4 linked regions of the Saccharomyces cerevisiae S288C genome follow. Changing the gene in region 3 together with the main gene of any one other region gives a genetic interaction. Each region holds a gene or a part of one and is shown on either strand. Other genes may lie near its edges.

What was found.
Region 1: mutations in CHL1 (region 3) and MCM21 together harm fitness more than expected from each alone (negative genetic interaction), as found in Saccharomyces cerevisiae (6 studies listed by BioGRID, with this or other methods).
Region 2: mutations in CHL1 (region 3) and ELG1 together harm fitness more than expected from each alone (negative genetic interaction), as found in Saccharomyces cerevisiae (10 studies listed by BioGRID, with this or other methods).
Region 4: mutations in CHL1 (region 3) and RAD27 impair growth when combined (synthetic growth defect), as found in Saccharomyces cerevisiae (8 studies listed by BioGRID, with this or other methods).

What each region holds. Positions count from the first base shown.
Region 1 is NC_001136.10:1,101,921-1,105,531, forward strand, and holds MCM21 (Mcm21p), read left to right. Parts: upstream 1-1,837; coding exon 1,838-1,889; intron 1,890-1,972; coding exon 1,973-3,027; downstream 3,028-3,611. Other genes in the region: HIM1 (Him1p), read left to right, coding at 264-1,508; YFT2 (Yft2p), read right to left, coding at 3,083-3,611. UniProt on the Saccharomyces cerevisiae protein: Component of the kinetochore, a multiprotein complex that assembles on centromeric DNA and attaches chromosomes to spindle microtubules, mediating chromosome segregation and sister chromatid segregation during meiosis and mitosis.
Region 2 is NC_001147.6:602,217-606,708, reverse strand, and holds ELG1 (Elg1p), read left to right. Parts: upstream 1-1,616; coding exon 1,617-3,992; downstream 3,993-4,492. Other genes in the region: MDM32 (Mdm32p), read right to left, coding at 1-102; PNO1 (Pno1p), read left to right, coding at 538-1,362; THI80 (thiamine diphosphokinase), read left to right, coding at 4,367-4,492.
Region 3 is NC_001148.4:537,783-542,470, reverse strand, and holds CHL1 (DNA helicase), read right to left. Parts: upstream 3,087-4,688; coding exon 501-3,086; downstream 1-500. Other genes in the region: transcription factor TFIIIC subunit TFC8, read left to right, coding at 1-389; RQC2 (Rqc2p), read left to right, coding at 3,535-4,688.
Region 4 is NC_001143.9:224,198-227,474, forward strand, and holds RAD27 (multifunctional nuclease RAD27), read right to left. Parts: upstream 1,679-3,277; coding exon 530-1,678; downstream 1-529. Other genes in the region: DNA-(apurinic or apyrimidinic site) lyase APN1, read right to left, coding at 1-258; DNA-binding protein ABF1, read left to right, coding at 2,373-3,277. UniProt on the Saccharomyces cerevisiae protein: Structure-specific nuclease with 5'-flap endonuclease and 5'-3' exonuclease activities involved in DNA replication and repair.

The sequences.
Region 1 (3,611 bases), on a different chromosome or scaffold from region 3:
AACTAACTTTTATATCCTTGAACTTCTTCATTTTTGTGTCTTTCATTGAAAGTATAATTTTCCTTTTTTTTTTTTGGTTTTCAATACATATAATGATGGGTGACATTTTTTGTGTCATTTAGATTAAAAGAAATTTTAAGAAAAATTGACGTATTTAATTTTGATCCGCAGTAAACGCTATAAATTCTTTTTAATATAAATGACAGCTTTTTATACATATAGACCCTTTGAAGAATATTCCAAACTAGAAAGGTTGATCAGAAATGAGTTATAGTGTCAACACGTTTACAGATTACGTTTTATTGTTTGGATCATCTAGTTTAGTAGGAAAAGGTATTTTAGAGAACCTGTTGGACATAAATTTATATATTAAAAATGTTTCGGACCTACAAGGCAAGCTTGATAGCTTAAGTGAAATAAAGGGAAATGTCGTTCTCAATAAACATGTCTTTTGTGTTAATAGAAGGTGCATCAATGAGGAGAAATCATTTATGAAGACCATTGATTATATAAATATGAGATCAGTTACTTGGCAAGGTGGCAGATATTACTTGAGAAGCAGGAAAGAAAAAGACACTGAAAAAGTACCGTCTAGTCCTAATACTTTTTGTTATGATAATTTTGAAGAAGGATTTATTAAAAATACGCCTGAAGAGAGGGGAAAAGATGGTTATTCTTTTGTTTATAATCAGAAACAGTTCAGTTACACACTACATTATGCATGCGGAAAGGAAAAAGGTATTGAGATCATTTGTAATTTTACTGTAACGCAATTGATCATCCCCAGATCTGAAACTTGGCCAAAATTGCTTCCACGGATATTCTCAGGAACACAAAAGCTGGAAAAGTTTGACATTGACAACAAAAATTACGTTCCCGGTAGAAGTTTGCCTAGTCTGTGTGATATTAGCACTATGGTGTGCTCTTTGGGCTCCACCTCAGCTAGAGTGCGGAGAACTCAGGTACCAAGTTCCTTTGCTGACTATTACTTACCTTTTAATTTAGCACAAGAATTCACGAATACAACTAACAAAAGGTTGGTGGTTACAACTGCCTTTAATAATGATTTTCTTAGTAAAACTTTCGAGTATTTTAGAATAAAAGCTAAATTAGAAAATGACTTGGATGAAGCTTTGCCAAATAAGCTAAAGGAGCTAGTTATTTTGAGGCCAGGTCCGATGTGTGGACAGCACGGAAATCCTATAAACGTTGAATTGGGTAAAGAAAACTCCACTTTCTTGGAAAAAATTTTTTATTATCCTCACTATCTTTTAGTTTATAAAAAGAAATATATCAGTGAGGCCAGAAGGATTGGCTTAAGAACAAAGTTAAGCGAAATAATTGCTTCCAGTATATATAGGATGCCAGGATCTGCATTATTAGGATACGCTGTCCCAGTTTCAAAGGTTTCTTATGTTGCCTCTTTGATGGCGATTGAAAGGAAAAGTAAAGAGGCGGGACCTAAGCTGGAAGTAATTAGCAGTTATCAAATTGATATGATTGTGTGAACAGTCAGTCTTTTCTTTTGATAGATGCGAAGTTATTAAATAAATAGTAGCCTAATACATAAAAGAACCACTATATCATGGATTCGATACCTGGGCCGTCTTAAATTTTTATCGCATTGAATATGCAAACTTTATGTATTGTTTTACTAATCGCCAGTAATGGCCGACCAATTCTATGATAGATCTTCCCTAAGTTTATAATGATGGTAAGAAAACGCGCATATTTCAAAACTGAAGAAAAAACAAACAAAAGCCATATGGATAATGAGGGGAAAATGTGATTTCTTTACTTGAGCAATTCTTTCAAACTATCAGTAACGCTCCTGGCAATGAGTAGAATCGATGATTTACAGCAGGACATTGAATCTTTACTCAGTGAAAGTATGTGATTTTGAGGCTGTAACAATTTTCTTTCTTTTAAAAAAATGATTAAGTTGAACACTAACATAGTAGAATCTTCACAGTCAATTCATTAGAAGAAAGTCGTGAGAAGCTCAAAGCGAAGATAAAAGATAAAAGAAAAAATGAGGAGAGCGCTAATCCTATAGTACAAGAATTTGAAGATCTATTCGATCAATTCCCACAGTTGAATAATTTTTTATTTAATGAGCATCCAGAATTGGAAGAGACAGATGACAAGGACATATCAAGGGCGCAAGCGGATATACCAGCAACGCCAATACCGTATGAACCAAAGAAAAGAGCTAAGCTGGAGAATGAGGAAATTTTACCAGAACAAGAATGGGTTTTAAAGACCCAGCCAATGGTTCAGCATCAAATGTTTGATCCTGGGGTGGCAGATTTATTGGATACAGACATTCTAACGTCACCTTCAAAAAGAAAGCGAAAACTAAAAATAGACGATATTAGTACAAGTGATAGAAGTGAGTTGGAAGATTATATTGTCCTGGAAAATGTTTATAGAATGTTTGGTATAACATTTTTCCCTCTTGTGGACCCTATTGACCTTAAGATAAAAGATGCTAGCGGTGAAATATTTGTTGATAGAGAAATGCTGGGAATACGACTGGAAGTCTTCAGCGAACGGACATCCCAATTTGAAAAACCTCACTATGTATTGTTGAAAAAGAGGATCAAATCGAATAGTTGGTTCCTGTTCAAGCATACAATCCCGAGTTTCATTGATGTCCAAGGTATATTTGATGACACCAATGGGGGACTAGTGATATCTCATGATGACGCCTATTTATTTGCTAAAAGAGTCTTCCTGCAACTTGTGGAAGTACAGAAAAGACGACAGATTTTTAAGGACTTAGAAGCTAAGAAGATAATCCACGACTTAGATTTAGATTTAGAATCTTCAATGGTTTCGTTTTTTGTGAAGGATATTAAAGTCGAGTTGTTTGTAAAACAAAATGAAATAGTTTCATGTTCAATATTGGACGATATTCATGATTTTAGTCAAAATAATAAAAGTAAATGGGAAATTGCATTGCTCGGTTCTTTGGATGATTTGGAATTAAAATTAAACCATTCTTTCGCGACAATATTCAAGTGAATGTTAACAAAAATATACTTTATAGAAAGAGGATAGAGCTAATTTTCTCTGTTTATCATAGATATAAGTAATTGTGTAGTATCCCAATTTTGGGTAGAATGTGGTATATGAAAACAGGGCATATGAAACCCATAAGGCAACCTAACACTTTTTCCAAGATAGTATGATAATAAATAGCGGTAACCCAGAGAATACATATCCAAATTACTAGGACAGCGCAAACAATGGCAAGGCAAGCTCGTACCCACTTATTCACAACCCAAAACATATCTTCAGCTTGAACAAATCTACTGAATAAGTGAAGTTCCATCCAAAGAATCATGCTTATACTCACAAGAAAGCAGAAGTGTCCACTAATGTCAAACCCACCATCCCATTTCCCATTTTCTAGACGGCACTTTTCAGCTGATGTCGTTTTACTACCAGAACTGCATTCTCCCCCTGTCCAAATGAAAACATGATCGATAAATTGGAAATTCAAAAACAATAATAGATATTTTAGAACGAACTTGCAAGCATATTGAGTGATCATAATACTGATTATTCTATTTTTGAGCAGAGGCCAATGGTTAGTATATGTTAAA
Region 2 (4,492 bases), on a different chromosome or scaffold from region 3:
ATTAGTTGCGACGTAAGTTCGAATACAGTGTCTTACGAGATGACTTGTAATTGGAAGCAGTGGCCGCTTTATTGTAGGGACCCGTAAACGTGTGATTAGCATGAATTTTATAAACCTCCCACCACCTGATAATCTGTATGTGCCTTTTGTTTTAATACTTCTTGACGCAAATCTACTGTCAACTTTAATATGCATCCCTCCATAGTAAGTCAAGGATCAGCTAGAACCAATAACGAGAAGTAAAAAAAAGTGACAAAAAGTCAAATGTGTCTTTATACGAATTTTTTAACCTACATATGAAGAGTAAGGTCATAAATAATAAATGTAGGGCTAAATGCAGTTAAGATTACTACAGTATTAGGTCTGTTTTTTATCACCTCTTACGGAAAGTGCGAGCGGGAAAAAATTTTTCTTCTTTCCTTATTATCATACCGATGCTCATCACAATGAAAGATACATATTGCATCAATAATAGGCAGTTTTCAATATTCTTCTGTTTAGTTAAGAAAAAGACTTGAAGTGAAAATAAACTACATTATGGTTGCGCCTACTGCTTTGAAAAAGGCTACTGTGACACCTGTAAGTGGACAAGATGGGGGCAGTAGTAGAATTATAGGAATAAATAATACCGAAAGCATCGATGAGGACGATGATGACGACGTTCTGTTAGATGATTCCGACAATAACACAGCAAAAGAAGAGGTAGAGGGCGAAGAAGGTAGCCGGAAAACGCACGAATCTAAGACCGTAGTGGTTGATGACCAGGGGAAACCTCGCTTCACTTCAGCTAGCAAAACACAGGGTAACAAAATAAAATTTGAATCGAGAAAGATCATGGTTCCACCACACAGAATGACACCCTTGAGGAACAGTTGGACAAAAATTTATCCTCCTTTGGTCGAGCACTTGAAGCTGCAAGTCAGAATGAATTTAAAGACCAAATCCGTAGAACTAAGAACGAATCCTAAATTTACCACAGACCCTGGTGCGTTGCAAAAAGGGGCCGATTTTATCAAAGCCTTTACCTTAGGGTTTGATCTTGACGATTCTATCGCACTATTGAGGCTAGATGATTTATATATTGAGACTTTTGAAGTCAAAGATGTCAAGACTCTAACAGGTGACCATTTGTCGAGAGCCATCGGTCGTATTGCCGGTAAAGACGGTAAAACGAAATTTGCGATTGAAAACGCTACAAGAACAAGAATTGTCTTAGCTGACTCTAAAATCCACATTTTGGGCGGGTTCACCCACATCAGAATGGCAAGAGAATCTGTGGTTAGTTTAATTTTGGGTTCCCCTCCAGGTAAAGTTTATGGGAACTTACGTACCGTTGCATCTAGATTAAAAGAACGCTACTAAACATAATTTGTGGGCTTTCATCATCTGTATAATATTTATATGTCGTTTTATGGCGAAATAGAGTGAATAAATAGGTTTTTTTTTCCTTCTTTTTTTTAGGACGCCAAACGCGTAACGTTAGCGGTGATAAATTAGTTTAGTATTATTATCCGGCTATTTGCTTCATGTATTTAACGTCTTCACTGACCACCTTCGCTGCACTAAATCGTATGGTACCATAGCATTAAACTTTTTGAATCAGAGAAGGTTTTCCAATGAAAAGGCACGTGTCTTTATCTGATATATTGACAGGAAATAAGAGAAAAGTGAGAAGACAAGATGCTCTACAGATTACCATCGATGACGAAAATGATACTGAATCAGGCACTTTTGACGCCAGAACAGCCAAACATGACGATTCTTCAGTAATATTTTTAAACCACTCTGTTGTGAAGCCAATTGAAGCTGTTTCTACTAATCACAAATCTGCAAAGGAGTTTTTGATGACGAAACGCACAAAAGAAAAATGCGATGACGACGATGATGATCTTATTGTAATCAGTGATAAGAGTCCCAAAAGTGAGACTAATTGTAGCAAAATTGCACTTTCGCAGGAGCATGAAGATGATATTTCTATAATTTCCACATCGAGAATCAAATCATCGCTTCTTAATGAAAGAGCATCAAAGATTAAAAACTTCCTTAAACATGAGACAACCGACACGTTCAAAAGATTAAATAGCATCTCTAAACTAAATGAAATAGAGCCACCATTACCATTACATCAATCGATTTTCCCAGTAGGTGACAAAGAGCTGTCAGATCGGAGTGTTGATATCCCGCTTCCTTTCCGCACAATACCGCCATTAAATCATAATTTTCTTCCTAGTGACTATGAATCGTTGAAAGACAAGAATTCAGCATCTTGTATTCCTGTTCGCTATCAAGCACCGGTATTACTTGGCACAAATATTAAAAGAAATACAACTCTCACATGGCCGCAGCTATTCAAGCCTGTCACTTTAAAACAAGTATTAATTGAACCCAAATTGAAACTTCGAATCAAAAATTGGATTGAAACATCCTTTCATACGCTAGAAAAGCCTACCTTGAGGAACCGTCTATTGAACAGAATAAATCCCAATAAACAACAGGGATCTGGTGATGAGCTTGCCAACTTCATTGTACCTGATCTCGAAGAAGACGAAAACTTGCGTCCAGATTTCTACAGAAATGGCGAAGCAAATAGCAGCTTGAGCGAATTTGTTCCACTAATGATATTACACGGAAATTCAATAGGCAAGAAAACGCTGATACAGACAATCATGAGAGAGATTGCTGGCGACGATAATTCTTACCAGATATATGAAGTTAATTCAAACATGAACAGGAGCAAAAAAGATTTGCTTGATATCCTACTAGATTTTACCACCACACACTATGTCAAAGATTCCTCAAAAAGGAAAAGTGACTACGGGCTTGTTTTATTTAATGATGTTGATGTTTTATTTAAAGAACATGATAGGGGATATTGGGCAATGATCAGCAAGCTTTGTGAATTTTCACGAAGGCCCCTCGTATTGACTTGTAAGGATTTGTCACTAGTTCCTAGTGAACTTATTGCCTTGGCAAGTGAACAAAACTCTTTGTTTCATACTAAGAAAATTAGTACATCCACAGTCTATGCGTTTCTAACAAAATATTTAAAGTCCCTTGAAATCGAAGTTTGTGACGACTGGCTTCGCGATGTTGTAAAACAAAATAATGCGGATATTAGGAAGTGCTTGATGCACTTGCAGTTTTGGTGCGTTGATACTGAGGCTGATTTGATTTCATCCAAGAACAGACTACCGGTCCTAACATCAACTCTTGGTTCAAGCGTTAAAGATATATCGCAATTAACTGATCTACTCTCCATAAATGATGTTATTGGTCAAGCAACGCTCAATCGTTCCATGGTTAGACAAGAAATAGATTCTACCACAATGACCCCAGAAAAAGTTAATACTTTCCAGGATCAAAATCTGGATGATGAAATGAAACTAAAATTTGATTACGTGATAGATTATAAATTGCATTTAAATGACCCCAATAGACAACCGTTATTACCGTTTGAATTGAATATTTACCAACACATCCAAGAACAATTGGAAGCTCGGTATTCCTATGTTAGAGAAGCAAACCATAGGCTTGATAACGAATACCTTGTTAACAGGTTCAAAAAAATGACAGAATCTACATTAAATTTTTTGGCGTCAAGAATACCGAAGTATGACCATCTTCAGTCGGCAAGAAGGACGAGAAATTCGAAGAAAATTTCTGATATTTTGAACCAATTCAAAGGAATTTATAATGATGAAACTCTGAACGAAAATGCCGAGATTGATCTGCTGAGCGCCACAACTCAACAAATTAAAGCGGAGATCAATCCCTTCGTTTTTGAAATCGCTAAAAGTGACGCCAATGTCAAGAATGAAAACAAACAAATATTTGAGTTGCATAGTGAAAATGTATCAGAAAGACGATACAAAGATTTGGTCTATCAGTTGTCACAAGAGGGTGTCTTGAAAAACGTATGGTTCAACGCTGATCCGAGCATAGTCGTGAGAAAATGGGAGCATTTGCACTCAGGCTTTTCAAAGAACAAATAACACTGATATGAAATTGCGTGCATCGTTACAGGAACACGTATGTATAATAAATATAGCATGGTAGTGCGGGGAAATATACTACTACTTTATATATCAATAAATTCTGCAACCTTGCATTAAGCAAATGCAGCACAATCCTAAATTCCTTCTAATAGTTGCCTTTATTTCCTCATAGTGCATATTTCAAAACAGCGAAAAATGCAAAATATGCGAAAACTTGAAAAAAAATGGCTGATGGGAATTACAAATAAAGCGTGAATGATAAGGCGTTTATAAAAGATTTAGCTTCTTAAGTACTGTGGTTTTGATAAAAGCTAGAAATTTGTAGATCACAATTGGTCACAAAGAACAATAAAAAGCTGAATATCACTGCTATGAGCGAGGAGTGTATTGAAAATCCTGAACGTATTAAAATTGGTACTGATTTAATCAACATCCGAAATAAAATGAACTTAAAAGAACTAATCCATCCAAACGAGGATGAAAACTCTACCCTACTC
Region 3 (4,688 bases):
AATACGCTATAAACAAAAAATCCGAATTAACGAATAGTTTTGATTTAGCTTGCGTATTATCTATAGCGGCAATACTTAAAAGAGAAGCGCCAATTTACAACGGCACGTTATTGATGAAGAACAGCTTTCTCGAGGAAACGTTCAATTTAGAAAGCTTCACGGCTGACCCTGAAACTGTAACATCCACCACGAATAACACGTGGAAGAGGTGTGGTGTCACTTTGCTTCCAATACTTACAACGCATGTAAAGATATGTCCCGTGAGCAAACAACGGGTAATAGACATAAAACGAGATGATTTGAATGATTATGGTTGGTTTACAAGGGGTCTATTAGAAAGATTTAATGAAATAAGCGTATATTGTGGAACAACGCTGGAAGTTATGTAAGGATACAAGAGACAAAGAATTACTTGCAGATATAAAAAGTAGTCATAAATATCAGTTTAGTTTACTATAATATATAGTAGTAATCACAGTATACACGTAAACGTATTCCTTTTAGCGTGAATTCAGGCTGCGCATTGAAAAAAACTTCCGTGTTGAAGAAATGACCTGATGTGTTGTATGTTCGGAATTGATAGAATCTTGCACCCAACGTGACAATTTTTTCCGGAAATTGGGCCTATTATATCGCACATCGAGCAAGTAAATGTTTGCGTAATCATTTGCATGCCGTATAGCACGTCCAACACTTTGGTTGACAGCTTTCATACAAATATTCTCCATAAACTCCTTTGTTGCTCGTGAAGCTTCCTCTTCCGTTCCGCCTGACTTCATTATTTTAGCGGCCAAATGCTTCCTTTTAACTATTAGTTCTCCACTAAAAATATTTGGGAACGGCAGGCCCACCATCACCACAGCCCTACATAAATCATCTTGAAAATTTATTCCCTCTGATAATTTTCCCCCAACAATAGCCAGCAAAAGAGACCCCCTTCCCTCTGCTACCGAATCAGAATATCCAGATAGAATATCATCGCCGTCTTTTGCTTCATAGAATATTTTCCTCACGTTATTTAATGTAGCAAACCTGTCATTCTGTTTCCAGCACTGAATTACATGCGCCAAATACTGATAGCTTGGAAAAAAAGCTACAATACCACCCTTTTTAGGAACTGCTTTGCTCAGATCAACAAAAAATTGAAAAAGATGATTATTTACAAGGGAGGGAGACATTCTTTTTTCGAATGTGAACTCAAGCTCAGGCTGGTTTGTGATATAAGTTTGCAAATTCTCTTTCGGTATAACATGATTGCACGACAAGGTCGTAATGTCTTCAGAAGGAACTTCAGGTAGCAAATTCGACAAAAACTCTGACATGGGTTCCATTGTCCCACCTGCAAGGACTACACATTTTGCTTGATTTAGTATTGACTCAAAAGGTTTACTTGGTTCTAGAAGCATGTACTTTATTGAATAATTTTTCTCAAAAAAAAATTGTCCTTCTGACGTCAAATTTGTCAAACAATATAGGAATTGAGAAACCTTGAAAAGTAATGGCTGAGAAGAAACTGATTTTTTATGCGTTTCTTTTATTGGATTTTCATTTTTTGACGATTCTTCCTCTTTTAGTGCCTGGTTATACGTGTCAATTTTGTAAGCAATTTTGGAGACTTTTATATATCTCAATAGTTTATGAATGTTTAGGGTATCGATGTTACTTCCTGTGAACATATCGTTAGGATCTATTTCTTGTCCTATCTTCTTGAAATTTTTAACTATAAATTGAATCAGAGTCATCAAAAGTGAATTGAGCTTTAATAGATTTACTCTGTTACCGGGATTGAGCCTGGACTTAAATTTGTTGAAATAAGTTACTATCCCCTTATGGCAATTCTTTAAGTCCTCCAACGAGATCTGAGAGGAATATATAGAATTTATTGTTTCTATCAAATTATGAGCCTCATCAATAATTACTATAGAATTTTCAAGGTTTATTTGAAGACTTGAACGGGTGGACTCAGAAAGTAAGTATTGATATGGCAAAGTCACTACCTCCGCAATAGGAAGTGCCTCCCTCGAGGCGTAATAGGGACAAATTCCCAAAGATTTTCCCAGGGGAACTAAATCTTCAATATCTTGAATTTCTGAAAAAATCATATCTCTGAGAGCTAACGTATCAGGACAATGACGCCATTCGTTTGTATTTTGATAAAAGATACATCCCTCTTTACTATGTCTAAGGTCCGCACATGCGTCATTAATAGCTTCCAATGTTTTCCACTTCATCACTTTTGGATTAATACAAAGCTGCTTTTTCGAAGCAAGTGGTAAGTACTTCACCTTTTCATCTGGGACCTTATCCCTAAAGGATGATGGGAACGAGGGTAATCTTAACTGAGAAGTAAATTGACCTAATTGTGAATAAGTTCTGGATGCATAATATATTTTCACTGGATTTTGATTTGTAACGTCAAAGCGATCGCCATTGTTTGGATCTCTCGAAACCTTCCCATCAATTTTGTCTAAAAGTGTTATTATTTGTGAATTTAGTTCACTCAATTTGTAATCTTTATCAGATATTCTTCCTCCTCTTGTGCTTTTGGAGGTATCATTGTTTTCAGAATCTGATTCGTACGGGCGCGGAATAAAATCTTGTTCTTCAAGTGATACATCAAGGTGCCTAGCGCCTTTGCGTTTCTTTCTTAATGGATCAACTGATTTATATCTTCCATGTTCTTTATCTAAATCACACATAGTTTTCAACTGCTTACAACTGGTCGTGTTAATTTCGTTTAAATGCTTCTCATAATCATTTAGCAAATCCACCTTTTCTTGTAAAACAGACTTTCGATAAGTGTCAATAACCCAGTCTGGCTCGTCATCGCTTAGGTTTTCACTATCATCTTCATTCGTTTTGATGTTAGTTTCCATGCGGGTGAAAATATCTGCTTTATTCATTCTCAACCAAGTCATCGTGGCACAGATTAAGGACAGCGTCTTGCCTGTCCCAGTGGGGCTTTCCAGGATAGCTATTTTCTTCCCTTCGGATAGCACTCTGTATACAGTTTCCATTAACTGTACCTGAATATCATAGGGCTTATAAGGATGATAGAAAGTCTCCGAATATTCCTTTTTGTCCATTTTTTGGACTAGTGTGACTGTTTTTAGCCTGGTTTTCTACTCTTTTGGGTTTTAAGGAAACAAACTGAAGTTGCAGTAGTGCCCTCAACTTAGCATGTGCTGATTACACTAATGATGAATTTAAATATGTCAGTGATAATGTCATCAACTGTCAGGTAACAAATGAGCCTCTACCTCAACTCTGTGGTTACGATTAAAATTGGATTTTCAATAAATAGCCTGAGTTTTAACCTTTTCAACAATTGCGACTTCTCTTCCGGACATTAACTAATGCACTATATCTATTGTATATTTGGACGCGTTTGAACTTTTCATTCATGCTGCGGAAGGATAGAAAAATGAAATTTCGCCTGAAAAATAGTTTTAAAAGAATCCGATGGCAAATTGAAAAGAAAGTTGCTACTTATTATCCGGTCTAAGAAGTCAGGCAGGCAAGAGATTAATAGCGATGAAGCAAAGAATTAGTGCCCTAGATTTACTGCTGTTGGCTAGAGAGCTGAAACAGGATTTGGAAGGCTACCGATTGAGTAATATATATAACATTGCCGATTCCTCAAAACAATTTTTGCTGAAATTTAATAAACCAGATTCTAAACTCAATGTTGTTGTCGATTGTGGCTTAAGAATTTACTTAACTGAATTTAGTAGGCCAATACCTCCAACTCCTTCCGGCTTTGTTGTCAAACTAAGGAAGCATCTTAAAGCTAAACGGTTAACAGCTTTAAAGCAAGTAGACCAGGATAGAATTCTTGTTCTACAATTTGCTGATGGCCACTTCTATTTAGTTTTGGAATTTTTCAGTGCAGGGAATGTCATTCTTCTAGATGAGAACAGAAGAATTATGGCTTTGCAAAGAGTCGTTCTAGAGCATGAAAATAAGGTCGGACAAATTTATGAAATGTTTGACGAATCACTTTTTACCACAAATAACGAGTCTGCTGATGAATCCATAGAAAAAAACAGAAAGGCAGAATACACCTCTGAACTAGTCAACGAGTGGATAAAAGCAGTTCAAGCCAAGTATGAATCAGACATTACTGTTATTAAGCAACTTAACATTCAAGGGAAGGAGGGCGCTAAAAAAAAAAAAGTGAAAGTACCTTCCATCCATAAACTGCTGCTTTCGAAAGTCCCTCATTTGTCTTCAGATTTATTATCAAAGAACCTTAAGGTATTCAATATCGACCCTTCAGAGTCTTGTTTAAATCTTTTGGAGGAAACAGACTCACTCGCCGAATTGCTAAACAGTACTCAGTTAGAATATAATCAACTTTTAACTACCACCGATAGAAAGGGTTACATTTTGGCCAAAAGAAATGAAAATTATATCTCTGAAAAAGATACTGCCGATTTGGAATTTATTTATGATACATTCCATCCCTTTAAGCCATATATAAATGGGGGAGACACTGACTCTTCTTGTATCATTGAAGTTGAAGGTCCTTACAATAGGACGCTAGACAAATTTTTCTCAACAATAGAATCCTCTAAGTATGCTCTACGTATACAAAATCAGGAATCGCAAGCGCAAAAGAAAATCGATGATGCTCGTGCCGAAAATGATAGAAAAATACAAGCTTTATTAGACGTCCAAGAACTAAA
Region 4 (3,277 bases), on a different chromosome or scaffold from region 3:
GTATTGGCCATGCGGTAAGACGTCCGTCAATGGGTTATAATTGTAAGTTGCACAGTTTTTCTTAAATTTATCTATTTCCTCCTGTGTATACTGCGGAGAAACCCACTTTCTTGGAGATTTTAAAAACATGGCAAACGAATTACAGCCAGTGTTAAATGCATTAGTTACACTATTAGAAATTCCACCGGCACCTGACATGTGCGCACCAAATTTGTATTTCGAGACAGCAGATCTAACAAAGCTAGGTGTCGAAGGCATTACGATGGTTCCGATATGCCAAAAGCTTATTAATGTTGCGTTTTGTGTTTCTTATTCGGAGTTTGTCATCTTATATTTACAATGATTTCCAACATGTAAAGAAATGAAGAAAAAGAAACCAGGTAAGAATGAAAAATTCCACGTTCAAGTTCCCAGAAAAACTGGCAAAAAAAGAGAAGTATTAGATGAAAAAAGTTCGTGTATACAAATATCTATGTTACATATATGCCAAGGTGAAGGACCAAAAGAAGAAAGTGGAAAAAGAACCCCCTCATCTTCTTCCCTTTGTGACTTTATTCTTATTTTTGTTCAATTTTTTATTTTCTTGTGCTCTTTTCGCCGCAGCAGCCAGCTGTTCCTTTGTCTTAGGCACCACTTGGAAGAACCCATCTAACCTACCCTGAATGCCAGATTTCAAGCCTTTTTTCAATCTTGATATACCAGATTTAACTCTTTCTTCACTGAATTTCTTATCATCACATAAATACTCGATAAGTTCCTTCTCCTTTGGTGGCGACCATTTCAAGTTTATTTCGTTACCATCTATAACTTCAGGGTCAAGAAACAGCATTCTTGCTTGTTTGTAAGGCCAGTCTTCTGGGATTTTCCATTTAGTGTTGTTTGACTCCCCAGATTCAATAAACTCCACGATTTTTTCGATGGATCCATGCGTTTTTATCAATTTTAAGGCTGTCACTGGACCAACACCTCTGATGCTTTCACAGTAGTCACAACCAAGCATTATGCAAAGATCAACAAACTGCTCTATTGTCAAGTCGAGTCCTCTCAAAACTAATTCAGTATCTATTTCGTGAATCGGTTCCTTCTTGGCCTCTGAAAAAGTCAAATGTCTCAACAAGAAGGGTGTTCTATAACAGAGTGTGTCCATATCTTCACTTGCTGCGGCATACACCTTTCCCTTCTTTGCCAACTCAGCACATTGAGCCTCAGCTTCCGTTGGCGCTATTATATATGGGATTCCCATTAGTCCTAGTAATTTTTGGGCTTCTTCATTATGCTCTTTTGAGACCTTCACCAATCTTCTTTCTTGCTTCATCTTTTCCAATTCTGTTGTTGCCTCTGCCAGTTTTTTTTCTGTTTCCACCCTTCTTGAAGACCGCTTTGTCAACTCATGAGATTTCAAATCTGGAGGTTTGCCGTCGAAGACATAACAAGGCTTGATACCGTTATCAATCATTCTCAGTGTCCTATAAAACATACCCATCAAGTGTGACGTTGTTTCACCGGCTTCATTGGTCAACTGCCCACCGTCTTGCTGTCTTACAGCAATTAAAAACTGATATAGAGACATAGAGGCATCGATGGCAACCTTTCTGCCAAAAAAGCTCTTGATATCGCTTTTCCTGATAGCAGAGGGAACATGTTCCGATATAATTGCATTCAAACCTTTAATACCCATATTTTTTCTTCCGGTGTCCGTTTCCTATTTCTTTCCAATGTATGCTGTCAACGCTTTTCATCGATGTATATAAGGAAGAATACCTCATTATAATACATCAAAACCTTCATTTGCGCGATGTTACGCGTCGCGTTTCCTATAAAAAATACATAAGCTAGTGAATAAAAGCTTTAAACGCGTTAGGGGGATCTGCAATTAAAGTAAATAAATGAAATAAATGAAATAGATGAAAAACTGGTTACACTAATTATAACGTTAATAAAACTAGTTGATAATCAAAATATTGCCATAGCTAAGCCAATAGTACAGCGTTGGCTTTCTATCATAACTTACCAGCCGGGTGCCCAATCGGGTATCTGTCACCGAAAGTCACTGTTAACGAGGTGTGATTCAGCCGGGTACTAGTCTAGCATTTTTTTTCGCCTGTTTTTTTCGTGAAAAACGAAAAGTGGCAAGCAAACTTATATCACTTTCTACTTCTTTCCCTGTTCTTTTTGTTTATTGGCAATGGCCACTACCACATCCCCATTAACGAAAGTCACCAAAGTGTGTCATTTAATACTACGGTTAGTGACAGCATTTTGTTTAGATCTCAACTAGAGAGGATTATCAACTGCTAAGCCCTTTACACGTTATCTGTGATCCTGCTGCACTAGGAAACGTTTCAAATCACCATATTTGCAATTTCACAAGGATGGACAAATTAGTCGTGAATTATTATGAATACAAGCACCCTATAATTAATAAAGACCTGGCCATTGGAGCCCATGGAGGCAAAAAATTTCCCACCTTGGGTGCTTGGTATGATGTAATTAATGAGTACGAATTTCAGACGCGTTGCCCTATTATTTTAAAGAATTCGCATAGGAACAAACATTTTACATTTGCCTGTCATTTGAAAAACTGTCCATTTAAAGTCTTGCTAAGCTATGCTGGCAATGCTGCATCCTCAGAAACCTCATCTCCTTCTGCAAATAATAATACCAACCCTCCGGGTACTCCTGATCATATTCATCATCATAGCAACAACATGAACAACGAGGACAATGATAATAACAATGGCAGTAATAATAAGGTTAGCAATGACAGTAAACTTGACTTCGTTACTGATGATCTTGAATACCATCTGGCGAACACTCATCCGGACGACACCAATGACAAAGTGGAGTCGAGAAGCAATGAGGTGAATGGGAACAATGACGATGATGCTGATGCCAACAACATTTTTAAACAGCAAGGTGTTACTATCAAGAACGACACTGAAGATGATTCGATAAATAAGGCCTCTATTGACCGGGGATTGGACGACGAGAGCGGTCCTACTCATGGTAATGACAGCGGTAACCACCGTCACAACGAGGAGGATGACGTCCATACCCAAATGACGAAAAACTATTCTGACGTAGTGAACGATGAAGACATCAACGTTGCCATTGCCAATGCCGTCGCAAATGTAGATTCTCAATCAAACAATAAGCACGATGGAAAAGACGATGATGCCACTAACAACAATGATGGCCAAGATAATAATACTAATAACGATCACAACAATAACAGCAATATCAATAACAACAATGTCGGTAGCCACGGCATTTCCTC